Caenorhabditis elegans: one gene and its partner. The protein of the gene in region 2 purifies or fractionates together with the protein of the main gene of each other region. This does not show direct contact. Each region holds a gene or a part of one and is shown on either strand. Other genes may lie near its edges.

What was found.
Region 1: the proteins of nfki-1 (region 2) and cgef-1 fractionate together in Caenorhabditis elegans (co-fractionation; one large-scale study listed by BioGRID). This does not show direct contact.

Annotation. Positions count from the first base shown.
Region 1 is NC_003284.9:2,765,184-2,780,935, forward strand, and holds the start of cgef-1 (DH domain-containing protein), read left to right. Parts: upstream 1-6,858; 5' UTR 6,859-6,894; coding exon 6,895-6,986; intron 6,987-7,009; exon of another isoform or gene 7,010-7,121; intron 7,122-8,631; coding exon 8,632-8,713; intron 8,714-9,365; coding exon 9,366-9,510; intron 9,511-9,640; exon of another isoform or gene 9,641-9,818; intron 9,819-9,943; coding exon 9,944-10,027; intron 10,028-10,201; coding exon 10,202-10,310; intron 10,311-10,935; coding exon 10,936-11,026; intron 11,027-12,821; exon of another isoform or gene 12,822-13,099; intron 13,100-13,146; coding exon 13,147-13,257; intron 13,258-14,502; coding exon 14,503-14,619; intron 14,620-14,716; exon of another isoform or gene 14,717-14,902; intron 14,903-15,480; coding exon 15,481-15,630; intron 15,631-15,752. Other genes in the region: F55F1.2 (Transmembrane protein 72), read right to left, coding at 4,425-4,447, 4,505-4,877.
Region 2 is NC_003284.9:15,348,011-15,363,762, reverse strand, and holds the start of nfki-1 (ANK repeat-containing protein nipk-1), read right to left. Parts: upstream 8,526-15,752; 5' UTR 8,524-8,525; coding exon 8,389-8,523; intron 8,337-8,388; coding exon 8,184-8,336; intron 7,947-8,183; coding exon 7,727-7,946; intron 6,425-7,726; coding exon 6,304-6,424; intron 6,153-6,303; coding exon 6,028-6,152; intron 4,580-6,027; coding exon 4,381-4,579; intron 3,303-4,380; exon of another isoform or gene 3,212-3,302; intron 2,744-3,211; coding exon 2,605-2,743; intron 2,535-2,604; coding exon 2,331-2,534; intron 2,285-2,330; coding exon 2,171-2,284; intron 1,063-2,170; coding exon 889-1,062; intron 841-888; coding exon 775-840; intron 720-774; coding exon 534-719; 3' UTR 1-533. UniProt on the Caenorhabditis elegans protein: Acts downstream of the receptor complex composed of ilcr-1 and ilcr-2, which is a signaling complex that modulates neuronal activity and animal behavior in response to sensory neuron input. Mediates signaling of the complex.

The DNA of each region.
Region 1 (15,752 bases), about 13 Mb from region 2:
TGACCAGTCGGCGGTTTTTGGTTTTAAAATAGAAAAAATAATAAATCTAAAAACTGAAACTATTTAGTTTCTTTCTTTTTTTAAATTTTGTCACGGTTAGAAAAATACCAATCAGATAATAATTTTTACCCTCTCGGTGTCCCCAATTTTTTATGTTTTTTTTTTCTTGCTAAACTTTCATTTTCATTCTTCCAAAATTTCTCCCGAGGAAAACGGAAGAAAGCGGGAAACTTGAAGCAAGGTCACCCCTATTGCTGCTTTTTGAGAAGGAATGTGAATTCATCCGAAATAAATGAGATTTGAATAGCAGTTATTTTTAAAGTCTACTTTTCCACTAATTCTACTTTTTTCGATTGCCAGCTAAAGCCCCTTTCATAAGGTATGTAGTTAGGTCCTGATTTCAGATTTTTGTAAAACGCTTAAACAACAAAAAACAAGTATTTTTATGTGATTTATTAATTTATACGCACATCTCATTATATGCATTACATAAGATTTATCAATTTATCACTATCACTTTTTCGATTCATTTTAAATCTTATTTGCCACCACACCCATTTTATCATTAGTGTTTTTATATTTCTGAGAAAATAATTTTGAAATCTTATGAGCAGTGAGATGAGGTGAAGAAATTGCTTTCAAAATGCTTATTGACTCAATATAAAAGTTAAAAAAATAAAAAATATTTTGATACATTTTTTATATATTTTACATTTGAAATTTTTTTTAATTGGAAAAAATCATAACTTTTACCACTTTTTCGGAAATCGTCGATTGAAAGAAAGTTTTCCTCGAGTGTTATGTTTACTTGTTTTAAATAATTGTCACTTTTGGATTATATGAACATTTCAAAAAATTTTAAAAAAAAACAATGTTTTTTGAAAATTTGTACTATGATAAGTGATTTTCAAGGCATCATATAAGTAATTTTTAACCGTTTTCCTGGCGCTACTCCACCTTTAAACATGTATTAAGAAATTTCTACTCATCATAAACCATATTTGTTCCCGTTTTCGTTCTTCTAAACTCATCCAAACCGACGTCTTCCATTCATTTTTCTATGTTTACTCAATGAAGGAAGCCGAATTCTCAACCGGTAATTATGAAACTTTCTTGACACTTTCGATTCCTTACTTTATTTCTAAGTCTCATGGGGTATTCCAAGATTTTATCTTTTGTCAGCTGCTTGTCGATTTGCAAACTCAGTTCTAATTGTTCATCAAAAGCCTCTTTGCAATTTGCATTTAAATTTTCTTTGACTTTCGTACTCGATTTTCTTGATTTTTGGAACTCACAAAACCTTTTTCAAAAAAATATATTTGTGATCTACCTGCTGGATGCTTTCTATGGTAGTTGTTTCTTTTTGCGGTCTGTTTTGTCGGGTAGATCAAATGCTTGGTTTTTGAAAAAAAACTGAAAAAATTTCTTGAGGGTGTAAAATGCAAAAAAATTAATTCCCGTCCATTGAACTACATTGACAAATGTGAGGAATGTGCTAAAAATCCTTAATTTCCAATTTCTATTTTCCTTCAAAACTGACAACTTGAAAATGCATAAAATCATTAGATCATTTAATTTTTGGACGGGCCTACACTTCAGTAGTCAGCAAAATATCTTAAACAACTATTTTGGGGTGGCCAGTTTAGTTGAAAATAAAATAAAAAAAGTTAACAGATCTTGTAGAAACTTAAAGCTTGCAATACTGTAGATTTTAAATTAGAACAAAGAAAATAAATATTTTAAAAATGGTTTTTTTTGTAATTCAAACCTATTTTTCAATTTAAAAAGTTAAGAAGCGTTGGGGGTTTTTGAAGAAATTTAAAAGTACTTTCAAGTTTTACTAACATTTGACCGAGTAGACACTGATTCTTGGCGCTATGTTCAAACCTGTTTGTTCTACATACGATGTCGATGATTCAGGTGTTCTTTTGAATAATCGAATGGCATTGGCTCCTTTGTGAGCCTTTTTTGTATGCACCTCTTTTACTCTACACGAGACCGCGTCTAAGTCCCATGTTCCCAAATATAAGCTCATACTCGTCATGGCTTTCTTTTCTTCTTCACCGCCCGCAATCATTCATCGGTTTGAGTTTTTGGGCTTTTGGCATTCGAAACACGGATGGGATCGAAACCGAACTAGGGTTGAGGGCAGCAGCTGCCGACACAGACACCACCAAAGAATTTCGGATGAAATGTTTGTGCAAATCGCAAAACAATCGGTTTTTTTCCGGACAGCGCCCCCTCTCTTTCTCACAGAGCCTTTTCTCGCTTGTTGTTCCGCGCGCGCTCTGCCGAATTGGGTCTCTGAGGCCTAGGCGCTTGCGTCAAAACGGAAACATGCAACCATGCATTTTTGACATCCGACTGTTGTTTGTACCACCTTTTGTGCAACAACTGCTTACTTTCGCGCACACTTTGCGCTTCCGCCTACACATTTATGAACAGACAACCAAAAACTATCCGTTTTCGTTGCAGCAGAAAAATTATCACAAACGGCGTGGTTTTTTTGATTAATTACTTTCTTTCTGGTATTCCCAGTGTTGATAAGATGTCTGTTAACACCTTTCGTTTGGTTGGTTTTTTTTCAAAAAAAAAAGTTAGACGTTTTATTTTGTCATATTTCATACAGTTCAGTATATAACCGTATTTTCCATATTATTAGGGGTACACATAAGTTCCGGGTCAAAATTTATAACTTGTTTTGCTACGTTTTTTTTTTAAATTTATTTGTTTATTATTGGTTTTTGTAAAAATGCAAAAACTTATGTTATCAACTATGATTTTTCGTTTGACAGTAGTTTCAAAAACTTTTGACCCCTACTCGGACCTACTATTTTCAGGCTTTTACCCAATATTGCGCTTGAACAATATTGCGCTTGCGGATTTTAGTAAAACTTTTTTTAAAAAACCGTTTAATTTTTTGTACGTCGTCAAAAATTTTTCAAATTTTTTTCCCAGAAATTCTTGACTTTTTAATACAAAAATTATGATTCTTTTTACAGTTTGAAACTTTATTCTTGATAAATTCCCAAAAAAAAAACTCAAAAGTTTCCCAAAAATTTTTTTCTCGTTTTAAAGCTTAAAATAAACGCAAAAGCCTGAAAAAAAGTGGATTCGAAATCCGAAAAGTTCATTAAACTCCCGTCAAATGGAAGGTCCTAGTTTATACCATAAATTTTCACAATTTGAAAAAATCTATACAGAGCTACAAAATTTATGCATTTTTTAGGCTCGGGACTTATTTGGCCTCCTAACAGATTGAAGCAATAAATCACCAACTTGCTTCAAATTACCAAACATAATGTAGCATTTTCCTGGTGGCCAACGTTCTCATAGAATACAAAAAACATTTGCAACCCGATGAGACTAGCATTATACAATTTCTCATTTTATTCTCCAATTTACGTCGTTGGTGTTGTGAAACTTCACTTTTTTGCTTCAATAGTCCAAATTATAATGTGGAAAAAAAAATATATAGCTGTTTTTTTTTTGAAAAATCGTGTTATGATAGGATAAATAATAATAATAAGCAGGAAAAACACATCTCTGCTTCTCTAGCTTTTTCGACATTCATATTTTCACTGAGCTAATCCTTCGTTTCTTCTTTTCCATAATTCCCTTTTCCACTCATGTTTTGAGTTGTCTTCGTTCAAAGGTATGAGAGCAAGCAATGAGCAGCAAAAAGTGGTTTACATGTGAACTAAAAATGTTCATTAGTGCTGTTTTAATGCTCTTCTTTTCATTATAGTTTCGGAAAGTGTTTTAACATGTTTTGTGCTTTTCTTTTTGTTTTTTTGTTTTTCAGACATTTCTGAGATGTTTTACAATCATTTTAAAAAATTATGCTCAAGAAAAGTTTCAATTGTACCGTCAGACTTCGAAACAAGTCATGTGTTATTTGAAAGTGTACCATAAAAATATGCCACTTTCTACTCTCAACCTCTCAAAATTTAAATCTTAAAATGTTTCAGGGCATTTTTTCACTACTTTGGAGGCTTCTAGAATTGCTCCAAATGCTTTTTACAAACTTGAAATGTTTTTCGGAACGTTTGCAAGTTGGTGAGTACTCTTGGAGACTTTAGATTTTTTTTTCATTTCATTGGCTCCAAAAATTTTCAGACATAAACAAAAATTAAAATTTTCCAAAAATCTCTCAGAGTGTTGTTTACCAACTTTTAAACGCTCTGAAAAACAAAGTTTGCAAAAAAAATAACATGTGGAGCAATTCTACAAGGCTCCAAGGTAGTGCAAAAATGCAGTGAAACAATTTTAGATCAAAATTTTTAGGGTAGAGAGTAGAGCTTTGCCCCCCCCCCCCCCCCCATTCTTTTAGCTTATTGGATATTACTGACAATTATCAAATACGTTTTGTTTTGTTTTGAAAATCACATGGACTTACATTTTTCACAATAATTTTTGGAGCATCAGTGGAAATTTAACACGATATCTAAAAATTAATCTCAATTTATTTTTAGAGTTGTACAAAACATTCACTGCAAATTACCAAGAAATCGGTTATATTTTTCAATTCGATGCCTCCCAGTTCTATGATTAATGAGTAACCAAGTCACATTGGCTGTGGCTTTGTCACGAGATTCTGGTGGTCCTCTGGCTATAAAAAAAGGAAGGCAAATTAATTCTGAAAACAGAACTGATGCCACCACAAGTTTGCAAGCCGAAATTGCGAAATATAGGCATCGGATTCCAATTCCTCCCAATGTTTTCGTTTGAATTTCCTCTTTCGTTTTCAAGCCATTTCTCCCTTTTCTTTCGGTGACTCGAAAAAAGAGTAGTGTGTCCGTAATGTTGCTCTTTTGGGCACCCCCTTCTTGGAGCATTCGGCCCGGTTTCTTCACTGAATGAGGGGGGAGAGACATGGAAAAAGAGCTTCTCGTCGCCGGGGTACACCAACAAAGAGTGCTCTTCCTTTTTGCCGTTACGCCTCTTAATTATTCGACGGCTTCTTTCCCTTGAGCTTCCAACTCATCAGTGCTTTTTCATGATACTTGTGTGGGCTTTTAATAAGTATTTGTATACTCAAATATGTCCTATACTCGATAGCTTTCAATCTCTGATAGTTTCCTGCTTCCTAGTGAGTTTGGGAAGTCGTTGTCGTTGTCATGCATCAGATGTTATTTTTTATTTTTGTTCAGTGCCTGAGCACGTCTTGAGCAGAAAAAAACGGTCATTCATTTTGGTGTTGCCTCTGGCATTTGCTGTCTTCATCCTCATCTTCTTGACACTTGATATTTCCTTTTTTCTTTGGTTTTTCCTTTCATTTCATTTCATGGAATTCTCATCTAAACTGCGTGGCTTCTGTTTACTCTTCTTTTCCCATCCATCAGAAACGCTTAAGCGTTTTTATTTTAATTCTCAAATTTCACACTTTATTTTTTATTTATCACGCTATCAAAAATGTAAAACTTTTTATTCAAACATAAAGTATACTTTGATAATTTATTGGCACCACAATAATTAAAAATCCTAGTGAAAAAATTTGTAAAACAGCTTTCAAAATTTTTTTTAACACAAATAATTAACACTTTTTGCCAGTTTATATAAAATTGAAAAAAAAAACATTGAAAAGTTGTACTATGGCATTTTGGCACCATAGATGTAGTTGAAAACACTTTTCCCAAAACTGTACCACTTCAAGTTCTTGATAGTTTCAAAAAGTAACTAATTAACTAAAACAAGAGCACTCACTACATAAAGGCCGGAAAATGACGACCGACAGTGATTGCTAGTAGGATATAAATTATGAATTCAAAAAAAAAGATTCGTTTTTTTTTTGGCCGAAGGTATTAGAAGAATCCAATCAAATCGGCCCCAACTTTTTTCTGTACTGCAATAACCCCGGCCGATGGAATTATACAAGTTCACATCAATATCGAATCAATCACTATGCATAGTTATCGGATGTGTTCACGTTAAGATATTTATATAGAATAAGTCTTTTTTTTATTATGTAAACGTGATTTCAATTTTTTTTTTCATTCTATAATTTTGGTTTAAATAATAGAAATTGGGCCCAAATGACCGAATAAAATTGTAAAAAAAATAATAAAATTTATTAATTGTTTTTTTAATGATTTTTCAATTTTGCAAAAACTAAAGAAAGGAACGAATTAAAATGAAACTCCCGCAGAAGTGAGTGACGTCATTTTTTTATATTTTCGGGTTATCTAGCTAAATTTATAGGTAATTTTTTATTTTTCTCATATATTTGGTTTAAAACCCCAGTTGTCATTTTTTCAGACATTTTTACGTGAAGAAACCTTGCAAATTTATAATCAAATGTAGAATAAAAAATAAATTTTTTAAACCAATAACTTTAGCCAAAAATATTAAAAATGACGTCATTAATTTGGAATTCAATTTTACAATTGAAAATATCATTAAAGAGTTATGAATAATTGAAAATTTTATAAATTTTTCACAGTTATATTTCAAAAAGACTCTACTCTACGATTAAAATATAATTTCTGCTTTAAATTATCTCAATAGCCAATTTATTTGTATGTGTGTCCGTTACATTTTCTTTTCTCAAACTAGTATTCCACACACACAACGATTCCTAACCCCAGTGTCTTCTCATTTTGCTCCTATTGATGAATTAATCCAATCAGTCACGCGCAAATGTCACTCACACATGCCCTTTGATGAACAGAAGCAAAGCGTTCAGAGCATCTGCCCTTTCAACTTGCGCTCTCATTTACTGCCGACGTTGAAAAAAAAACGAGCACCGAGGAGTCTTGGAATTGAGTTTAAACGCTTTCCTGAACGTTTTTTTCTTGCTTAACTTGATACATTGTACTCTACATTTTTCTGACTTTATAGTTCATCTTTCCAACTTTCAGGAGAGTGGAGGGCCTCACGAATCGAGTGTTTGAAATGCAGGCGGCTCCGTCCTGCTACGGCAGCATGGTTGCTAGCACATCAGAAGAAGTCACAACATCCACATTATCGCGGGGACCAATGACCATGTGAGTTTGTGAAGTTTTCGAAGACATCGCCGCGTAATCATGTGAAACTATCTCTCTAATCTAAGGAGCCCAAAAATCACTCAAAATTTGTTTATGTGCAGTCTCTACTAGAAAAAAAAACCGATCTTGATGCACATTTTGACCGGCTCAAAATACATACACATTGTGTTTTTCCACCAACCCACACACTTCCACACCAAAATCTCCAGGGACATCACGTCTCGGGCAAAGTTCGGTTTTGGAAAAATGCTACAAAAAAGTTAGTGGCGGAAGTTGAACCTTTATATTTGCAACCAGCTACGTCTCTAAAAAATTTTTAAATTATGAGTACTCCGCCTGGCAATTCAACAATGTGGGTATACAATTTGTGAACACAAAAATTTCCCGAGTAGAATGTTTTTCATTTTTCTGCACATTTTATTACGTAACTTCAATTTCACATTTATTTGCACAAGCCTGATCCGTAGAAGGAGCAGTGAGCCTGAAAAATGAGAGTGATTGACAGAAAGATAGATTGGTTTTGAGTCGGCTCAATGCTTTGTACTGAAGTTTTTTAGTATCACATTTTGATGAAATGCTACTAAATGAGAATTTAATTTTGAATATGGTAAGGTTTCTGGTGTAAGGTTTGTGTTCTCAAATTAACGAATTTCTTTATAGAACCTCACACAAAATTGTAAAAAAATTCTTTGAACATAATTGGCTATTTTTAGCAATTTCAAAAATTTGCCAATTTGCCAAAACTTTGACAGAAAATTTCAAAAAGGAGAGGAGTAGTGCCAGTTAGGACAATGTTTAAAACTGCCCTATGGAGTCAAAATAAAATTAATTTTATAATAAAGCTGTTCACAAAGTTTTCGGAATTTTTTTTATTTTGTGTCAAAAAGTGACAATTCCTCAGTTTTTCCTAATCATAATTTTGGAAATCAACAAAAAAAATATTTTTTCTAAGACTTTTTACTTCAATTTTGTTTCAATTATTCGTGTTCTAGTAGTGCGACATTGCTTTAAACTTTCATAAAAGCTCGTTTTTTTTCAAAAAATTTGGTAAATTGCCAAAACTCTGACTAAAAATTTAAAAAAAAAACGTAAAATTTTTTGGAGTGTTTTATTAGAGTATTTAAACGTTCTGGATCATAATAAGTGTGTACATTTTAGGCGCTACTCCACTTTAAAAAATATTTTCGGTGTTTCTTCTCAACTTTGTGAAATTTTTCTGAATCGTGCCAAAACATACTTTCGATTTTTTTCACATTTCATTTGAATTTAATGCTAGAATATGAGAATTTTTCTCAGCAAACTATTTTCATTTGAAAAAAAAACGCGTTCCAAAGGAAGTTAGTTTCCCAGACTACGGAAATTGGCAAGAAACAGAGTCATTCTTCATCTCCGCCGTCCGTTTCCACTTCAACGTTACGTCTGGCAAAAGTGCGAACATCTTTTATTGAAAAACCTCATGAATAAATCTGAAACATGTTCATAACCGATTCTGTCACCTGTTGAGACCCTCCTAGTTGTCGAACAACAACCAATTACCGGCTAAACACAATTTTCTAAAAAAGGGGGTTAACGTTTGAGGCTAACAGAAATAAGTCTATTGACCAAGTAAAATCATTTTGCTATGCATAAATAACTAATTTTACAGGTCTGTATCAAAATCTAACAGTCAATTTATTGAGGCTCCTGCTTTTTTCTACGATATGGACACTGATTTGAAGGATTTGAAAGTGAGTTTAATTTTACTCGTAGTAACATTTATTTTATTCATTCATTCATATTGAACGCGTTACACTTGTTCCTTGTTAGTACACTCCACAGATTTTTATTTCTTGTTTGTATATAATTTTATTTTTGAAAATATTTTTTTGAAACCATTTTTAATAGAAATTGGCAATTGACAATATTTCAAAAAATAAACGGAAACTGTTTAAATTTCTAAAATTTTTGAATTAAAGTTATGGTCGAACATTTTAATAAATTTATTTCCTGACAAAATGCCCTTTTTTTTTAGCTCAAACTTCCACGTTTTAGTAATGCCTTAAAACAATAATCGGTCGCACAAACTATGAAAAAATCATGTCAAAATTAACCTTTTTTTCCAATTTTCAAAAAATAATTTTGTTTGAAACTTACCGAAATCAATTGCCAAAAATGTTTGAAACTATTGGAAAATTTAAATATAATTTTCATTATAATTTTCTCTCTCTCATTTTCAATTTCACAAAAAAAAAAAATTAATGAAATCGATTGAAATTTAAAAGTTGGGTTGTTTGGAAAATTAGCTTTAAATAATAGAAAATGGCCCGTAATGGGCGAATACTTTTGTTAACTTCATAATTCATAATTTCATAATTTGTTATTCAAAAATGTGTTTACCAGACCGCACTAAAAGACGTGGATTTACTAAACGACTCTGGCTACCGATCGGTAATGGAACGATCCACTCATCCATTTGCGACGAGTCTAGTTTTCCACGAAGACAATGGCTTCGATTCTGAAGACGACGCAACGGACGAGCATTGGGGTTGGTTTGAGCGGGTAGACTTGTGTGTGTGTGTCTGTGTAGTAGTTTTCGCAAATTGCGCAACTTAACGTATCGTAAAATAATGACAGAAGCGGCCGTACTCGTCCGGGTGACCAATCATCCGCTCTACGAATAGGTTATGGACAAAATAGGCGCGAATATATATATAGTACGGTATTTTGCGGGATTTCGATGCACGATCTAACTTTCTATAGTGCCCGTATTATACAACTGGCCAGGCTGGCTTGGCCCACCGCGCGGGTAAAGTTGGCCGCAATAGTCACTTTCGGTTGCTTCATTCATATTCTACCTTCGCGATTACTTTAGTAGATTTCTATATTTGGTACATGGTACCTCCTTTATTAGCATGGAGAAATTGGAGGAAACAAGGTTACAAGATTTCCACAATTTAAAAAAAACTTAAATTTTGCAGATGGGTATCTCACAGTGGGAGGTGACCGAATTAAAATTCGCGACATGTCCGACATCCTGGCGACTAGATACGCTTTCATTTCTGGTGAGTGCACATGCTCAATTTTAGAGGACAGACGTAAAAAGGGCTATAAAATGTGGCGAGAAATGCTACTAAATTCCTTGAGAACCCGGCACAGCCCAACTACCAACTCATACATTTGCAATATGTCCGGCATTCTTTTTTCGCTTTTTTTTTACTTATAACACCTTTTTTAAGGAGCTCGCACCACTGAAGGATTGACAATTGTAACGTTTCCGGACTCTAGATCGACGCTTCCTTTTGAAGACTACTCACTTCTTGTGAAGTATCTTTTGCAAGTTCCTCCGTGAGTTGCTTTTTTTGGGGAAAATTGTTTTAAAATGTCAAGTTTGTGCTTAAACTTTCAATGGCCTATTTTAAACTAAAAAATGTGAATTTCGAGCTCAAAGGAATCCTAGGTTCGGTCCACAAAAAAACATTGATTTAAATTTTTAAATTTCGATAACTATTTTTTTTATTTTCACGGAGGAATTTTATGTTTAAAAATATTTATTAAAAATACAATACATAACAGAGTAAAAATTTGAATGATCAAGTTTTAGAGATTTCTCGTCGATTTTAACGAACTTTTTACAGATTTTTTAAAGTTTACTATCAAAAAGTGACAATTACTCAGTTTTTGCCACTATAATTTTGGAAGTCGACAAAAAAATTTTTAGATTTTTATGCATTAATTTTGTTCAAATTATTTTCGTTGTAACAACCTGAGTATCGCAACATATCAAATTGGCAATTTTTCAAAACTTTGACTAACAAAATTCAAAAAATCAAACAATTGTTGGAGTTGTTTTATTATAAGTGCATTTAAAAAGATCTGTAGCACCAGAAAATTTTTTAAATCTAAATTCTTGTAAAAAATAAAATAAAAAACAAAAACTATAGATTTTTCTGAATAAAACTAATATTTTCAGCCTGGAGGACAGCCACAAGGGTTTTGTGATAATAATCGATCGCCGGAGTGACAAGTGGTCTTCCGTACGGACTTTACTACTTCAGATTTCTGTAAGATTTATACACTTTCTTCTGAAAATCTAGCCGTTGTGGTTTCACGCGGCGCGTTTTCAGTTTAGTCGTGAACACCTATAAATCTCTTTTGTCGTGTTCAAAAATTTCACTTTCACAGTGTTTTCGTTTGCTAGAACACCTCGTTATTGCTGCTGCCACACCACACCAAGTGTGTCCACTTTCTCAGATCTGTTGACACAGTCGGCACTCGATTTGCCAATGATTTTTCGATGCATTTCGGTTTCACTTTAATGTTTACGTGAGAGACGCCTGGAGAATGTCACCGGGCATGCGCGAGCTAAGGTATCATGCAGAGACCGGATATCTTCAGTGCTCCACGCTGCTTCATGTTTACAATGCGCACTGATTTTGATGATGGGTTGAGTATCACTTTACTTCGCAGACACCCCCCTCCACTTGCGGTCATTTTTTATGATTGTTTTATATGTACGGTGCTGGCCGAAAAATTATATTTCTTTTAGTATTGTGATAGTTTTTTTTTTGAAATGACTATAATTCCAAAACTAGAAATGCTTTCAGAAAATTTTAAACTAACAAAATCTTGCATAAAAATAAAACGGCCGACATCTGGCGAGACCACTTTTGCCGGTGGTTGCAAATTTACATTTTACATGGGAATTTTATGAAAACAAATTGATCTTCTTAAAATTTTTTTTTATTTTTAACACTCGTTAATTTTTTTAAATACGCGCCCATTTTGAGCACATTTCTCATAAGTCGTGAATAATTTTTTTTGAACTGTTTTTGATTAAAATATTGTTGAAATAGAATCCTTACCATCTCTTTCATCATATCTTTACAAAACATATAATCAAAAAATGTTCGAATGTGGTTATTCAAGTAGTGCCGGAAAATTGAAAGTGTTAAAAAATGACGTCACAACTGTATTAAAATACATAAAAACATGTATTCATGTATTTCAATACAGTTGTGACGTCATAAATGTATTTAAATAGATTTTGCAACATTACTTGAATAACCCCATAAGTAACCTGATTTCAGAATATACATAATCTACACAGCATAGCGGTTTCAAATAAAGCTAATAAATACAATTCATAAAAAATAATGTGAACATACTTCTATTTGGTTTTTAAGTTACAGTGGTTTTAGTAATCATCATCAAAAACAAACTCGTAAGATGTCGGCCGCTTTATTGTTTTCGTGATGATAATAAATAATTCAAGTGTGTGAAAACAAATAGACAAAGTTATGGGCATTATCTTGTCGGCTAAAAATTGTTCGAGATTGCATTTCTAGGTTCGGAGTTATACCCATTTGAAAAATTAATCAAATGAATAAAATAGATACTCAAGGCGATATATACGGTTTTTTAACAAAAATTAAATAAACTGCAATATTGTAGGAGCTTTTTTTTTTCAAAAAAATCAATTTTTTAAAGGATTTCCCTTTTTCCTGGCAGTTCATTCAATCATCATTGTTTTGCATTGACTTGTATACATTAAACCATAATGACGCAAGGACCACCCTTGCTAGTACTTCCGGTGTTTTGAAACCGGAGCTTTGTCGTCTTTGAAATCCACTTCATCTTTGAAGACATCCGTACATTTTCTTTTCTCGAAATTTTTTGAAAATACTTTCATGCACTAAGTGCTTACTACAGCCGTCGAATATTTTTTATGCATGAAATTTCTTTAAACATTTCGAATTCCGGCGGCCGCTTTTTTGTTGGCTCCTGCAAGCCGCCACCTTTCACCTTTCTTTTGCACTTTAACCCGGTCGACCACCCATCAAACTGTCAATTATTCATTCAAGCAGAGCAACTTTCGATATAACTGGTAGTTGAATATCCTGGTTTTTGCACAAAATGCCCCGTGCGCCTAGAGTTGGCCTTCTTGCTTCCTATCAAAAAAAAAAAAAGACGCGCTTGTGTCGATCCCTAACGTAATTAGGACTCGCGTTGCTTTAGCTTAGTTTTGAAGACGAAAATAAATTGGAAAAAAGAGAGTGCAAAAACTGAGAATCTTTCTTCTTATGTTTCCTGGTTGTAAAAACCAGCAGCAGTTTCCTGTCTTTCCGCAGATGTGTTTGGTTCTGTTTTCAATACTTTTTACTTTTATGTATAATTTTTGCAGTCATTCTTCCCTGGAAAAATCTGTGTGACGTTTGTTATCAAGCCGGAAGGCGTTCTACAGCGTGCTCTTGAAGTTGGGTATCGTGGAGCAGCCGACACTTGCTCATTTCAGGTTTGAAGATTTTTCACGTTTTCCTCATTTGAAATTATATGATTTTTAATCGACTTAATATATGTACATAGTTTTCATGATTAACGTTGTATAGTGCAAAGCGCATTGGAATGGAAACTATGCATGTTAATTGAAAGATATAGGAAGAAATGGAAAGTCGGCAAAAACGAAAGTGGGGAGATTGAACTTCCGTAGTTTTGTTTAATTTGTGAGAGCAAGAAATAGGTAATATAGATTACTTTAACTCATTTTAACTCACCTATTTCTTAACTAAACTTTTCAAAAGCTGAAATTGCATACCTTTTCTGACAATCATTTTATATGGTTTGATACCTTTTTTATTTTTTTTGTTCCAGTTATTAAGAAAGCAGGCCTCCTAGAACCCTAGCCATATTTTTTATTTTGAAAAAAAAACTATATTCATTATTTCTAAAATTAGTTGGAAATTATTGAACTTGCCAAAATAAATTTAGCAGAATATAAATAGCAACATGTGAACAAAACAAAATAATTTACTGGAAAACAGCATTTGGATTATTTTGCATCAAAGTTGAAATACAATGTACATTTTTTCAACAACATTGATACTGCGTTTTTGTTCAAGTAAGCGCCTATTGTGCCAAAATGATCCAAAAATATCATAGTAAGACTTCTCAAACATTTTTTAAAAATTTTTAAATGGCAGTCGAAAAGTGGCAAATACTGAGCTTCTGCCACTTTTTGAAAAATCTAAGGCACAATCCCTAAAATGTTTGAACATTTTTATTTAAAACATGAGTACCATAAAGTTCAAAGTAAAAAAGTTTTTTAATCGTCAACTTTCAAATAAAGTGGCAAAAACTGAGATTTTTTCAATTTTCAAAAAATAATAGAAAATTTGGAAATTTGTTCTTGAATTTTTAAACTATGATAATTGGTCATTGTGGTGTGATAGGTCTGTTTCAAAGCAACTACCATACTGGCGGTACACCACCTATAAATTTTTTTCTCGATGTAAGTAATCTAGGTAGGTTTTCTATAATAAAACCTCACATATATTAATTTTCTGTTTGAAAGTTTGAAATTTCACAAATAATGACAATTTCTAAAAATTAAAATATTCCACGTTATAGAAATTTTCGGTTTTGCGATTTGTGAAAAAAAAAAGTTGATTCCCAAAAAAGTTGTTTTTTCCGCTCAAAATCAAAAAATTTTAACACTTTCAGACTAGTTTGATAATTATAATTCAAATGGTAACATTTACAGGTGATCCAACTCGAATCGTCGGCCGAACTTCGGAAATACATTCATCACGAGTTTTTGACAATGGATGTCGGTGGCCTTATCAAGTATAACCACTTGGAATGGGTGCAGCACAGAATGGTAAGGTGTTTTCTGTTTATGAATGATTACCTTCCCTTCATTCCTTTGTGAAACGGCGGCGGCTAAAACTAAAAGAATTAAAAAAAGAAGAAGAAGATCTATGTATAAGAAGCCCGTCGACAGGTGAGGTGCGAATTGGACAAGGTGTGGCGTGCCCAGGTGACCAGTCCTTTCCCCCCTCTCTCATCAATTGACGGCGTATGCCACCACCATTTCCTCTTCACCGAAACCTTGCCTTGTCCACCTCACCTCTCATAAGGTCCTTTTGCCGTGTGTCGTCCAGTGCACAATGAGCTCATACGCACACATGCATTCGCATTAAATCTCGGCAGCAGAGGAGGGCGTTCACTTATTCACTACCTTTCCGCGCCATATTTCCATACCTCAAGTGTTCTGGTATTCACGTCGGCCGGGGCCGGTGTCCTCAGCAATTTTGGGGTGTGTACCCGTCTACTACTTTGTACTTCTTTGTTCCCCCGATATTCTTAGCATTTCGTCGACATCATCTCGTAAACATCAAAATTGTACTAACGGGGCTGTGCTCTTTTTCTCCTCTCAAGGCCAGCCGCCCATCCGCCCCCCTAAAATCAGTTGACCATAGCAACTAAGCATTGTGAGCGGGGCCCAGCCATTTCATATTTTTCACCAGTGCGATCCCAACCTGGAAATGCTACGCTCATTTCAAGGATATTGGAATTCTTATTCCACTCTGGTCAACGAAAAAGACTATACAAATGTAAGTGCAACTGAAAACAATCAAGGAAATGGAAAAAGTGCCTTCTTTCTTTCAAGTGCAGATATAATTGGCGGCGCGTCTTCTTTCTTCAGTTTTCCACGCTCCCAACCCTTTATTGTTTTCAGGACATTGAACGAATGAAAGCGTCTGCAACAGCCATCGCTGCTTCTCTTACCGAATTCGGAAAAACCTTGCGAGAAACTGAACTACCTAATGATGCGGACAGTACAGCACGGATATTGGAGCTTCAGACTGCCGAAAAGATGGCTATTAAGGTTAGCTTCAGGGGTGCTGCTGTTCGGCAATTTGAGCTTGTTCGGCAATTGTCTGAATTGCCGAAATTGCCGGAACTTCTATAACCCGGCAATTGCAAAAACTACCGATTGCCGGAACTGTA
Region 2 (15,752 bases):
GTTTTTGTGAAAAATGAAGGAATATTGAAGGGGATGGGTGAACAGAGAAACTGTGACGTTGTACCACCTAGTACGGGGAATATAGCACAAAATTTCGAGAGAGAGAGAGGAAGGGGAGTGGAGAAGGTAAAAACGTGAAATAAGAAAAGAAAAAAAGGAATGAGATGGACTTTATGTACCAGCAACTAGCATATACTTCAGAATGTGAACGAGAAACTACGTTGAAGTTGGAGGTGTAAACGTTTTAAATAATTATTTTCAATATTCAATTGAGAGGTTGAACTGTAGACTTAACAATCGTTGAGTGGAATAGCTTAACGGTCGTTGTAAGGAAAAATGAACACATTAATTTTAATGAAGTACTTTTAAAAAATAATTTTTTGATTATTTTCAAAGTTTAATTTTTTAGATTAGAGGGGTGGTTTTGAGATCAACAAAATAAAAAATAAACTATAACGAAGAGTCAAATATAGGTGGTTTTGATGGCATTATGCAACAACGTCAAAAAAAATGTGAATGAAGCTGAATAGAGCTCAAGCTCTCGACTTGTTCGGGACTGCACCGGAGGTCAGGAGTCGGATGTATAGATTTTCGCGGACATTATTCGTGTCCTCGTTCTGGGTGGAACTACACAAAAGGTCGACTGCGGTGTCTCCATGGAAGTCGGAGAGATTTGCCAACTCGGTGAACGTGTCTTCGTTGACAACGGTTTTTAAGAACTGAAAATTTTAAATATTTATTTATTAAGGAAACTCGAGGAAATTCGGAACTTACATCTAAAAGTTCCACGTCCATCTTGTCGACAGCATGATGTACAATTGTCTTTCCAGTTGAAGTTTCCTGAAAAGAGCTGTATTGGTAATCATCAAAAGCACATAATCCACTTACAGCAATCGTTGGATCTGCTCCAGCCTTGATGAGCATTTCGATGATGGACTTGTTGTCAATTTTGTGCTGTGTCTGCTCATCCATCATTCCATGCATTTTAACCGCACACAACAGTGAAGTTTGACCATCATCATTGGTTTCATTCACACGAATCTCTCGCTTGCTGAGCAGGGCCTGAAAAATTGAGGGGTACTGGTTTAAGTAAAATTTAAGTGAATGAAGTTGAAAAAAAATAACTGTACTTTCTTCTGCCTCTGTGCAGTTACGGGGAAGTGTATTAAAGCACACTTATTTTAAAGTGTATGTTAAAAATTTGGGTACATCACAAGTTGTTTTTTTTACATTCAAGTGGTTTTTCACAAAGTAAACTAGTGATCCCATGAGGTTGCCGGACTCACGGCGTCACTCAAGCCTCATGTATCCGAATGTATAGTGCGGCGCGAAACCCCGAACGTGTCGGTCGCTTCCACACAACATGCTACTGATTTCACGCCAAACTGCGGAACCCGGAACGTGTCGGCCGCTCCAAATAACTACTTTTCGCACGTCATCGCATACACGCCGCGCCGCGCGGCATTGGTGTGAGACCGGCGTGAAGGCGGCGTGAAGGCGGCGTGAGGCCCGCATTTCGCGCCACACTCAGCTCGGAGCTCTAAAGTAAACGCTGAATGTTGTGAAAAAACTAGAAAACGCCAAGAGAAAATTTGAAAACAAATTGACATGTGTGATCTACAGAAATATTCAAAAAAGTTTTCAATCGTTAAACATAATTACGACGCAATGTGAGATCGTTTTCTATAATATAAAAACGTAGCACATATTTAAGTTTTAGCATACAATTAATTGTTTTCAGCTTTGAAGGATAAAGTTTGATAAAAAAAATTATGTGGAAAAATATAACTCCTAACAATAAAACTCCACTAAAATTGATAACATAAGTCATGTTCATTAAGTGACATCAAGACTAAAAATTGATGTTTCCGAGGATGTTACAAGGCACATAAACGTTTATATAATCGTTACAAAAATTCAATAAATAGCTTTCACGTGTGAATTTTTGTTTCGAATTTCAAGTTATTCTGAAAATGACTCCCGGTCACTACAAATGCACGCCCTAGATTTTCAAAAAACTGATTTTTGACTCCTAGATTAATTCATGATTGAACTGATTTCTGAAGTGTACAAAACTAGTTTCCTTGTTAGTTTCCGGGTTCACTTTGCAGGCTGTTTTCTTAGTCATACTTACGTAATGTGATGATAGGAAAATTTTGTAAACGATTACCTCAACCATATTGTTCATTCCACGAGCTGTGGCGAAATGAAGTGGTGAATCTCCAACTGCGCGAGAGCTACGACTGTTTGGAGAAGCTCCAAGCTCAAGCAAGTACTCAACAACCTGAGAAACGAGATTACTGATTTTTTTAAATATTGAAAACGCTTACCTCAATGCTTCTTTGCAAAACCGCGACATAAAGTGGTGTCTCTCCAAAGTTATTGCTCACATTGAACACATTGTCGTCGTTTTCGTTCATCGTCTTACGAAGAGTCTCACACAACGCGTAAATTTTACCGAGGTCATTGTGAGCTGCAACAATATGGAGTGGAGTGTCGCCATCTGCATCGCGGTTAGTAAGCACGTTCTTCCACTGAAAGAAAAAAATTTTTAAAAAAATTAATTTTTGTGAGAAAATGATCAAACGAAAAATAAAATATTACTGTAGTGCAGGCCCAGTGAAATCCAGTTGCAAGATCGGATTCAGGAATAATAGCGTTGAGACGCTGTTTAGCTGTGATTCCATTTTCGCTAGTGCGAGGACTGAGGCGGGTCTGGTTGAACGACGGCGTAGTTGGGCCACTGAAATAATGCAATTGTTGATCGTTGTGTCTTCTACCCAAGCTGCTAGATCGACACCTCTCTACGAAGTTCATTGATTTGACTAGAAGTGGTGATGATAAGACATCGAGTAAGGAAAAGGTGTTCCGTGATTTCAAAGCTGTCTATTTCTCAACGCAAATATCAAAATCTTCTGAACTAGACGCGGAACTTAACAGGTACCGGTTTTCGTTTTTCTTTCGTTTTTCGTTTCATATCTAGCAAAAAGTTGTAATATCGGATGACATGTTCAGCAAAATGTGTGAACTGTTATCTATCAACAATGAAACGAACCTTCTTGGGTACCACTCATTTAGCATAGAGCAAGAGTAGAACGTCTACCTGCTAGATTTTGTTTCTCCCTAAATTATTCGGATTTTGCAAGGAATATTGAGATTAATAAAAAAGGTGGCGACGAAATGGCGTGGGGTGCAAGTGGCCAAGGTGGATAGAACTGAATAAGAATACAACCAGGAAGTAAAAAACGCCGGCGACGGCCCTGTAGTGCAGAAATAACACGGTTCGATTCGACCTCGAGAAACACTATTTTCGATGGGCAAAAGTGACTATGGGGACAGCCCGAGAAGCGAAGCCGCTAATTTCCATCTTATCCGTCGTCTTACCCGGAGGGGAGAAGACTTGGGGGGGATCGGCGCACTTCCGCGGATGGCGATCATTGTCGTGATAGGGCCCCCCACGTCTACCGTAATCAGCTTTTGCAACAAAAACGCAAATTTTTTCTCGGACGTTGATCGATCAATTTTGATCTTTTACACATTAAGAAAATTGAAAATGTTATCTGCGGAGACTGTCGAATGAAAAATTCAAAGTAAGGAAAACATTTATTTATTGGAGTCTAAAGCTACATGCTCCTGGTTTATGGTTATTGAACTTTATGGATGATCAATTTATCAAACGCAACAAAAAATAGTCTGACTATTGTTTGGAAAGCTTTTGGTAACAAGAAAAAAATACCCCCGGTTTTTCGCCGAACCGCCTATATTAGAATTTTTATTCCAATAACTAAATTTAATGAACGAAAACCTTTACAAATATGCCTACTGGCCTACTCTATAGGCACTCAGGTAGGCATATTTCAGCCAACTTGGAAGCTATACTGATATATGAGTACTTAGTAGAATACGTTAAGTTGAGTTCAATCCATGCCAAGGCCTTTGAAACCTTTGATTGAAAAACTTCAATTCTGCGATATTGCAATAATATCTGATAAAACTAAGCGAGCAAAAAGCAGAAGGAACGCTCATTGAACTGACTTTAACATCCATTTACCTAAACTTACTAGCGATTTCTATATCTAAACATGTTTTATTCTGTAACTCATACTCAAATATTTGCAGTTCGAGAATAATATAGCCTATTGTATAAAAACTTCTGAAAAAACAAAACCATGATGTTGATAAATTAAAAAAAAGATGCTAGTTTTGCCACTCAAAACATCAAATTTCAACTAATACATATATAATCACAGTGAAGCTTGTTGTCATGGTGGCCACTGGCCACCCAAGTCACTTCTCTTATCTCCCAAATAGTAGCCTACCAACGTAAGTATTTAATTACTAGTTTCACTATGCACAATGACTCGTCTAGAAATTGGTTACCTGCAGGTTCCTTGTGGCACGTGTGGTGATGCATATGGAGCTGAACGAGCCGACATCGGAGACGACACCCCAGAATCTGCAGATGGTGGACGTCCTCGGATGCTCTCCTCTTTGGTGTACTGGTTCGAGTATTGCAGGATGAAATCCTGCAGACTCTCCGGCAACTCGTTATTCTCCGGGGTCAGGACGCGCGAAGTATCTAGAAGATTGTAATTTTTATAATATCGGACTACACATATTCCGGGAAAACGTTGTGTGTTCGACCAACGGAACACTTCGGAACAGGGGAAAAGTGGCGGAGAATATGAATATTTTTGAGAGATACGTTTCGCTAAAACTAATAATTGTAATCAAAACAATAATCAAACAATCGGAAAATCAAAAGGTCGCATTTAAAATATGAACACCCTTGATGTTTTCTCTTTAGCTATGATGCCTGGGAGTTCGTCTGGTACTAAAATTTTGGGACTGTTACTCAGAATATATAAGGAGTTTTTCTACATATGTATTAGGGCGGCAAATAAGTTTTGACGTATTTCGTCAAATTACGGTTTTCCTTAAATTTTATATGGGTGACTTATAGTAGGCAGAGTTGCTTTTTTGTAAAAATATAATTTGGAAAATAGCCTAAAGGTCTTCTGAACATCGCAGATCACTCAAAAGTTGAAACTCATAAATCCCCAAAGGAGTCTGGATCTGACCAGAATTGTAATGAAATGAATTGTTTGGATAAACGTATCCACTTTTTAGTTTGAAATTTCAAGAAAAGATTGAATCTGAAAAAATACAAATTTTTAGTGCACTTTACTTTTTGACTTTGATTCGCTATAAAAGTTTTGGGTGTGGACCAATTGAGTCGGGATTCACTTTTTGTAATCTACAAACAAAACTTAATTGATTTAGATATTAACATCGAAACTCAACGCCTAACCCAAAAAATCGCAAAAAAAAATTTCGAAAAAATTTTGAATTTTTTCAGATCAAAGTACCAAGATGCAGGCTGAAATAGCTGAAACTAATAAGCTTGTATATACCCACTGCCTACTATAAGTCACCCATATAAAATTTAAGGAAAACCGTAAATTGACGAAATACGTCAAAACTTATTTGCCGCCCTAATATAAGCTGATTTAGATGGAAAATCAAGCTTGACTCAAAGAGAGTAGCTGAGCTGGAAATTGGTTGCTAATAGTGTTAAAGCTAAAAATTAGAGTACCTAAGTCTTATGTTCTAATTTGATGTCAAGATTAGACATCAGAGGCATGGGGTGTTGGATTTAAGTTCGCCTGGCTCCAAGTTTTTATCACACTAAAAATTGGATAAACTTAAAATTTTTTGGATCAAACTGTAACAAGGCAACTAAAAAAAATTCAAAATTTAAAAGATTTAGGTGTCAAAACTTGCACAAAAACTACAAATGATATGAAGCGTTCACTTTTATCATCTATCAGAAACGTACAAACATCGCAAGCCGCCGTCGTATCAGTGTTCCGTACGTGACCATCGAAACACAGTGCCTACACGTTTTCACCAACTACGGCCGCGTGGGTGAACACCATTTACTACCCCCCGTTAAGGTGTTTGACCTCTCGCCCATTTGTATTTAGTGTGATCACCACAAAATGTGTGCCTATTCAGAAAACCTACCAGCAGACGAGATGTCGGAAAACGGACTCTGCAACGATTCTTTTGGACTGTGTTGAGGCGGAGATGCTGATCCGTATCCATCAGATGACAACACAGTGTCAGGAGTTGTCGACGCGGATATCGACCTGAAAGATGTGAGGTTCCTTATCAAACAAAACGTGTCAAATATCTGTTCAACTAGCAAGGGTGAATAGCTGACGATTCATGTCATCATCGCCCTTTTTTACCCCTTTTAACATGAAAAATAAACGAAAGGAAAAGGTAATTAATTCGTACCCAATCGTGGTGTCTGGGCTTAGCGACCAAGTGCTTCCGCATTCATAGCCGCTACCGTAGCCAGTGTATGCTGAAATGTCGGTGATAGGTGTTTGTGCGGCGCATCCATAAGGTATTTGGGCTGAAAATCAATTTGTTAGAGAGGCCGTTAACATCATAGTTTTTATTTCATATTTTTAAATGCAAAGTGATTATAGATACCCTAATCATTCGAGTAATGTTAGTATGAATGTTGTTAAACTAAAGGCTGAACGCTAAAAACTAAACATAACAATTAAATTGATCTACTCCAAATGCACGTAGTGCCAGGCTGTCCCATTACGGTTTGATCTACAAAAAATGCGGGAATTTTTTGTCCAAAAAAATGTGACATCTGCACGTTCTTAACCATGCTAAATCAGTTGAGAACTCTGCATCTCTGCTCGCGCATTTTTTGTAGATCTAAGTAGATCAAGCCGAAATGAGACATTCTGACACCACGTGCAAATGGTAAAATATCATTAAAAGTGGAGTAGCGCCAGTGAAAACTTTCCGAATTCACTTCTAAGCTTGACAAGGTAACCTTTTCAAAACTTTCAAAAAATAAACTTACAGTCAAAAGTGGCAATTCTTAAAAAAGGAATCCTATTATCAAAATGTACATATAAACTGACATGTGAAACGTGGCTTATTTTTTATTTTGTTTTTTATTTAAGCTCCTCCCCTTTTTTTTAATGAACTAATAAATTAAAATTTCAACGAAAGGTCAGGAATGGAAGGAGCTTAAATAAAAAACAAAATAAAAAAATAAGCCACGTTTCATATGTCAGTTTATATATTTTGATAATACGAATTATTTTTTAATATTGGAAGGGTTCAAACGTGCAAAATTATATTATGTTTTTTTATTTAAAAAAACAACCTTCGATTTAGTAAGTTCCGTCATTTACAAAGTTTTTGAAATTTGAATGGTTTCCAATATTTTGATATTTACTTGTGTTATTATAAATAGTTTTAGATAAAATCTCCAATGTCGCTACTCCACTTTTAGTTGTAGATGAATAAATGCCAGATAAATGTGCTAAAAATTTCTGACCAAAACTTTTCAGTACATCATTTTTGCATTATTTTTTACATTAACTCGAAAATAGTTTGCAAATGAATTTAGATGGAGTTTTAAACTTGGAACAAATCACTTTCAAAAAATAAATCAAATAACCTGAAGATGTCATAAGAGTGAGAAATGAATTGAGGGATGAATAGTTCTAGTTTGCTATCAGAGCACAGATTTCTAAAAAACTCGGCGATCTAAGCACGAAACGCTCTGTTACGCTGTGCTGGAAAAAAATGTGCCCCCCCCCCCCATAATTTTCATATCACGAAAATGAAATTATTTTTATGCGTTCCTATGATTTTCCAATTATTTTTTCCCCACATCTCTAACCTCTGTGATATGGATGACTTCCTCCTGTGGCAACACGAACATTGTGCACTGGGCCTCTGCCTAAAAGATCGCCATCTTTTTTCTGTTCGTCGAGTTCCGCGTTTTCATCTTCCTGCTCTTTTTCTTTTTTCATCTTGAGCTCTTTGTCATCTTTTGGCGGTCCATCTTTCTTTTCCTCGGCTTCTTCATCTTTTTCTTTGGTTTCCTGGTTTTCAGTCTTCTGAAACGGAAAAGCTTCATTAATAATAATTGCTCATTTCTATGTGGCATTGAAAAATTCATCACGTGAATGTCGTGCTGAGAAATGAAAATGAAACATCTGCATTTGATGTGATGCAAATGTCGTGTGCACTTGTCTACGTGAAAAGTGAGAGCTACAGAGTTCGAAGAAAAAATAAATGAGTCAGTACTACATCAACTACATCATTTTTGTCACTCATATTGCTCGGCCATATACCTTTTTAGACTTGCTGTTTGGAGTGAGATCAGCGAACAGAGTCACCCCGTCAAGCTGGAATTTGGAAGTTTTTGTCTTCTTCGCCAAAGCAGATGATCTGATGTTTTGAATGTCACGGAAATCCGATGGGGTTACGCCGTGCTGCGATTCGAACTGAAAAGCAAAACAAACGGATTACTGTAGTAGTGGACGTATGATCGCCTACCTTATTGACACTTTTTTGGTTCGCGTCACCATTGACGGACAGTTTGCACAACAGATCGGTGAGCTGGTCGGCGTGGCTATCGGACGGTATCGCCCGAGCGACAAGGCAGTTTCCCTTGGGGGCAACGGTTGCCATGGCTGAAAACAAACGACGTAATTTTGGAAAACATGTAGAATAGACAAGGAAGAGTGTAAAAACAAATGCTGGAAAAGTCTAGGGAAAAAAAAGAAAATCGATTGAGATTTGATATCTCTGCCGGTTGAACTATAAAATGGGGTCAAGTCAAAAAATCGATTTTTCAAGATTTTGTTGCCAACAAATTGCACAGATTTAAAGAAAAATGCATTTTTATCAATTTGAAACGATACATAAAGTAATATTGAAGCTGTAAAAAGAGTAATCTTTGAGAGCACATATGTAGCGAAATAAAAATCTTTTAATTGAAGTTTGATCTCAGCATCTGCTTTAGAAATTGAAAATTAGAGAATGAAGTCAGAATAATTTAAAAGTTGATGATTCAAATAAAAATGAAAAAAGGGACAAACCCATGTATTTTTGAGAAATGAGGTTTGAAGAACATTGTCTAAGTACATCACTTGACAGAATTAGAACAGCAAAGGACAACCAGGAACTGTAATGTTGGAGAAGAAATGTGAAGTGAAGGTAATGATGACCAGACATTATAATAATTTGATTGAAATGGAGAAAAAATTGAGAAAAAGAAAATGAGTTCTGACGGACAGAAAAAAAATAAATAAAAAAGGAAGGAATGGCTACTACTGTTTGATCTACAACAAAGAGAATGGACCATTCAATTGTTCTCGAAAAAAAAATATTGGTAAAATTCGGAGCATTGGGTATTGCAAGTTTAAGAAAGTAAAGAAAACGCGAGGAACGGGAGCAAATATTTGAGCACAACAGGGCCGAAAGGGCCGAGAGCGCGACACACACACTCACACATACAGAGATCCTTACTCTTACTTCTACTGTCTATCATTAGTGTGTATGTTTATACGTGTGTGCGCGCTTCTTTTTCATCTCCCATTTTGTTGAGCTTTTTCTTGTCTCCTTTTTTTCTTAAAGAGGAGTGGACGCGACGCAACCGCGCCGCAATGAATGCCCGCTCCTCGTGGTAAACGTGGGGAAAAAGAGAAAAAAATATGAACAAAAAAATAGAGCGAGAGATGATGATAGAGAGAGTCAGAGAAAACATGGGACGCCAATTCTCTTTCATCCCTTACTCGCTTTCTTTCTCTCTCACTCTCTCTCACTTGAGACTATTTTGTCTGTGTGGATGTGGGGGATCCAAAGGGAGCGCCCCCTTTTTCGAAATGGCGTCTTTTCTTTTCTCTGCCCACCTCGGCGTTTGCCGTGTTGCGATTGTGAGCGGCGGGGCGAAGCGGGCGCGTTGGCCGCCAGTCGCGACCGAAAATTTTTGTTCCTGGTTTGGCGGGCGACTGAGAAAGAACTCTGAAAAAAGGAGACGCGCATCACACACGTAATGTGGTTTCGAGTCAATTTCTTTTCTCGCCTCTCCATCCACCTTCATATTGTTGACAGCGAAAAATGAAGAAGAAGAAGAAGAAGTTCCTCCCTCGAGCGACTTAGCCCTAGAAAAACAAGAAGGTTCACTCTAATGACAAAAAATAGGCGTGACTTGGCATCACAATGTTGAAATCGAAGATCGGTGGGGAGAAAGATGACGACGATTCAAAAAATATTTATGAAAATATCTCCAAAGTTCTCATGAACTCGAGCAAATGAACTACATAATTATCAGAGTACATACATAATTCGCAACGCAGTATATGGTCTGCACCAGACTTGGTATTTAAAGGAAAAAGTTTTCAAAAAGTTTTTGTCAACTTATTCATGTACAATCTTAAATGCATAAATTTACATAAAATAATTTACCTAAACATGTCTCTCCGATGTTTTTAGTTACACCATATTTAATAAGCACCTTTTCGACTGTTTCGCTACTTAACAGCTAGACTGGAAGAGCGAAGGATATATTTAAAAATACAATAGGTGTTTAGCAAAATTAAATTTTAATAAATTAAAAGACGATCCGTTCTTCGAGTGCTATGCACTGCGGATCTGTCAGGTAAACTGCCTGGTGGTGCTCCCACTGGGCTATAATTTAAGCACCGTCCTAGCCGGGGGCCAGCCTTGTATTGCTACACTTCCCAACAAAGGCTGGGTGAACCTAGGGGGTGAGGTCGGACTTGAACTCGTGACCTCCAGATTGCTAGCGGCCACCATTACCGACTGAGCTATCTGCCCCGCGAAATTTTTTTTGACAAAAAACAAGAGAACAACAACACGAGCTGCCAAACGTGAAGAAGTAGAAGAACATAACTTAAATTAAAGGTCGTGTTGAATATTTAAAATTGTTAACTCGTTGTATACATACAAGCACTTAACATTTACCTATATTAAACGTAGTTTGATTTTTTTCAGATAGATAATAAACCCAGTGAATGCCATAGACATAGTTGGAAAATTTGTGATAAGAAAAGTTTGGAAGAAACTGAACAGAAACACATAATCTGACGAAGTACTGGAATTTACTATAAAAACAATAAGAAGAAAGACTAACCCCAAAGTGAATTTGACACAACAAGGAACTAGTGCCTTAAAGTTCAATGCTTTTACAAACAAGTAAAAATAGAAGAGTTCATTTTTGGGGTATTGTTCAGAAACCGCGCAATACAATGGCGACTGGACTAAAAAAAACGAATAAAATATATTTAAGACCGAAGAACACATCACGCGCTGAAAAACACAATGAAATCGAACAACGCGTGTAACACAGCAAAAAAAAAGCGAATAACAAGTGGACATATTGTGCAGAAATTTCAGTACTGTCTGCTGATGAAAAATCATCGTGTCAGAATTGTGTGACAGAGAATGATAACTTTTTCAGTTTTATGTGAAAACATATATGGTAGTTAAAAAAAATGATGATGAGACAACCGGGAAGCAAAAAGAAATGGGAAAATGGAGAATGAAAATCAAAAAATAATACATAGAACAAGATCAGTTTCTGAGAAGATCATATATTGAAAGTAAAGGAACTAATCCAGTTGGTTGTTTATTGTTAGTGATGATGTCAAGGTTTCAAAGAAATCACAAGCCTTTTGTGTTCTTGACAAACCACAACATTAAAGAATAAAGATTGCCAAACAGTTTTGTTGTTGGAAATAGGAAAAATTGAGAAACAAACTTTTGAGTTTTGATGACTGTTTTTTTTTTTCAGGTTAGTTTTAGATTTTTATCAAAAAAAAAACTCAATAAATAGGATTGTTAAATGAAATGTGAGCGAATAATGAAGTTATCATGATTTTACAGGCATGTAAAGATTGAACGGAAAATGAAGGTAGATATGTATTTATGCAATCTGGCAAACAGTCTAGAAATAGGTAGGTAGGCATGGGGTAGGCACGGAGGAAAACGTGTATATGTTTTACAGGGAAGTCTTGCATACACCAGAAAAAATGTTTGGGACAGTTTTTTTTTCCCACAGACATGAAAATTTCAGTTCAACAACACAGTATGTACAGTGACGTACTTGTTTTCGATTTTTACGTAGTTTCTTCTACAGTATAAATAAAAAGTTGGAAAATGAAGATAAAATTTTTTTTTCAGAAAACATTATTTTGTTTCTATTCGTATGTAATATTTTTTAAAGAAAATATTACAAAACCATGAAACCTGCAATTTGTTCAAAAAATAGAAAGTTTTATAAAAGCAAGAAACAAAACTAACAAAATCATGCCGTCAATCCAGAGATCACACTGAATACACTGCGGCTCCACTCAGTTTGAGACTCGGATAAGCACGAATCTCGACTTGAAACTACAAAGTTGGATTATCACAAAATGATTCATGTTTTTTTTTTGAAACCATGTCGTTTGGGATTGTTTATTTCAAACATCGAACAGAAACTGTTTTTAAATCCTAATTTAGCCTAAAAATGTGAGCAAGAGAAATTCTTCAAAATCTGACGGTATTTAAAAAAAGACAAGGTTTTGACATAAAACAATGCCGCCAAAATAAGTTCCCAGAATAGATCAATTCGGTAGATGTTTTTGCTACATATTTGCAAACTTTTTTCAAAATTTAGGCACAACAATTAGAAAGGAGTATTTCAAGCCGTGATAATAACAATGATCTACTGCTTACGAAAAATGCGATAATTTACTATACTCTAAGATTTTCTACTAAATTATTCAATCTTTCGAACTTTTGATGACTTTTCAAAAGCAAGTCCTAAGGACGATTGAAAATTTTGAGAACTCCCGCCTCAGTGCCCTTGACCTTTTCTGAAAACAACTACATAGAGCACAAACAACTAGAAATGTTAAAGTTCTTTTTGTCCATCTTCCAGATGAACAATTCCTTTTCAAGATCAGCCGCCTGGAAGTCATTTTCGTTCTCGATCAGCTTCTGATTTACTATGTAATCCAAAAAGTTATTTTTCCAGGGAACTAATTATTTGCGGCCTGGTTTAAATTTTCGTACACTTATTGAATTTTTTTTGTTATTAAAAGCTAAATGAAAACATATAGTTATATTAAAAAAAAAAAATATTAAAAAAAAAATAAATAAAAATAAAAAAATATATTAAAAACTGGAACCCGGTAATAACAAACTTTTTGAATATCAGATTATAAAGTTCGCATAGGGGAGACAACCAAAATGCACATTACGGATAAAAGTTTATCGCAGGGAAAAGAATAAAAATATATGGGGAATATGTTTCATGCATGAGACACTTTTTTTATTCGGAAAAAAATCTCGATTACTATTTTGTCATAGAAAACAGAATAAATTTTGAAAAATGGCAACTAACTTCAAACATCAGGAATGTTCTGAAAAACTAATTCTGAAAAAAATGTGCTCTATCAAAAACTCGTGCTGATTTTTTTCCGGCAACAGGTGTTTTATGCTAGAAACTAGAATTTGCTGTAAGGAATATTGAAATATTATTTCAAGTTACAAGTACCTATTTTTGTGTTGTATTATATTTTGCATGTTTTAAACTTTGAAGGTTTGCGTCAAATAAAAACAACTTTTTGAACAATGAGAATAAGTCTTAATAGGAAACCCTAAAAAAAAACATTTCGAAGTAGTCAAAAAAGTTTTCAATGGTGGCTTGAAATTTATAACTAAGCTGGTTTTTTTTTAAACATGGACATAGGCAAGTTGGCAGAATGGGATTTAAGGCAATTTAAATCCCATTCTTTTAATACCATATTTTTTAAAGTCATCAAACAAGTCATTCGGCTCATTCCTAAAGTCATAATTTGAATATGATTCGTATTTTCGAAAACTTTGGTAATGTGATAACTGACTAGATTTTTACAACTGATTCACGAAAGAGGGGAAATAGAGGAACACTCTTTTTTTCAGAAACCGGTGGAATTCGAATTAGAGTGTCAGTGGAATAGTTGTTTTTGATGATTCGATTCATGTAGAGAACCAAAAACGCCAACGCGGAACTGAATTCAAATTAGACGCAATGTTTAAAGAATTAAACAACATTTGGCATACCAGGAAATTGGAGATCGAGAAAAACTAAAAACTTGCTTCGAAAAATTATTAATTCTACTGAAGACTTCTCTAGTATTTATGCACGATGATGTTGGAAAATTGGCAATAGTTGAGGCAGGAGATTTTCTGGAATGGCGCGACGCCAAAGTCCATATATTCTCTTTTGCAATACTCTCTAACCTGATGATGTTTGAGCTGTAAGTTGCTCACTTCGTAACCATCAAAGAACTACATTTGCTCATTCCAAGTGTTCTAGACACCGATATTATTTCTTACCCAGTAACTGGCTAATCACGCAGTTTGATATGTATGTCTGAAGTGCTTATTAATCTTCGAAAAAAATTAGACAAAATGGATTAAGTGGAAAACATTAAAATTGAGTTCAACCCAGTGTTAAAACTCAAAATGTAGAAGAAAAGTATGCAAACTAGATTGATATTGAAAAAAAAACTAAATTTTTTGGTTTTTTTTCCAATCATTTAAACCCATAACAAGTATCGCTATTTTACTGTTGAATAATATTATATAAAATAGAAATAAAAGTTTTTATATTTTCTGATAAAAAATTAAAATCTCAAAAATTTTGAAATCGTACTTCTTGCCCAAATTCTGCTGGAAAACAAAAACAACAGACATCTTCTGATCTTTGTTTTAACACATTTTCGATGTTTTTTGTTATATGTATTATAACTAGAAAAAAAGAACATACCGTATATTCTCTATTAGAGCGGCACCCTAACTTGCCTTTCGAAAATTAGAGCGGCAGTCTCTATTAGTGCGGCACCCCCTATCTTGGTTGCGAGAGCCACCTCAATTATTCGATTTCTTCGATGGTATTTTTGTTCATTTTTGAATGAATTCATAAATTTCCATTAAAATATTGAATTTTAGTGTCTTTATGAGGCAAAATTACACAATTTTCATGAATTTTACCATAAAATATAAGGTTTTATTAAGGAATTTTAAGGTTACTACTCTCAAAAGTAGTAACCTCAAAATGAAAATTAGTTATCGAAAATTAGTGCGGCAGTCTCCAGTAGAACGGCAGTCTCTAATAGAGCGCACATCGCGAAGGGCCCGGAAATTAGTGCGGCATGCCGCTCTAATAGAGAATATACGGTATCTAAAAACTATTTGAACAGTTACTTTTGCGGATGATGCTTTCATCATTGTGGCTTTTGCGGGAAAGTCGAAATATTGCACAATTGGGCGGGATTTCATTTGGAATAATTTCGCCGCTGATGAGAACTCCGAAGCGAATGCTTGTCATTTTGTCATTTTGAATTGAATTTACTATTTTTAAGCAATAGGGAAAACTGCTGAAAGTGTTTAAAACGAACAATTTTCAATAATACAACACAGATTTAGCAACAAAACCCTTGAAGTAAGTACTAAAAATATTTTGACCAACTTTCAAAATGTAAGTGGAAGAGCTAAATAACTGACACCTTTTGAGTCTAACTAATCAAATTGACAGTTATTTTTTCTAATTTTTTTGTAAAAATGTAATTTCTGTACTGGCCTTCATATCTGAAAAGAACGAAAAAACCATTCAAGCTCAAAACTAAAAAACTACCATTCCGGTTACTATAATCCCTGGGTGCTATATTCATAAAAAGGATTTACTAAAATTCTAATTTTTATTGCAGATTTCCGCCAGGGTTAGGTATTTGAAAAAAATTCCTGAAAAAAAATGGACCCCTTTTTTAATTTTCAAATTTTCCGTTGTTTAGTTGTTTTTTTTTATGGATCACGATGTCATCAGATTTTTGGATACATAATGATAGATGCTTGCGTTTCTCGTG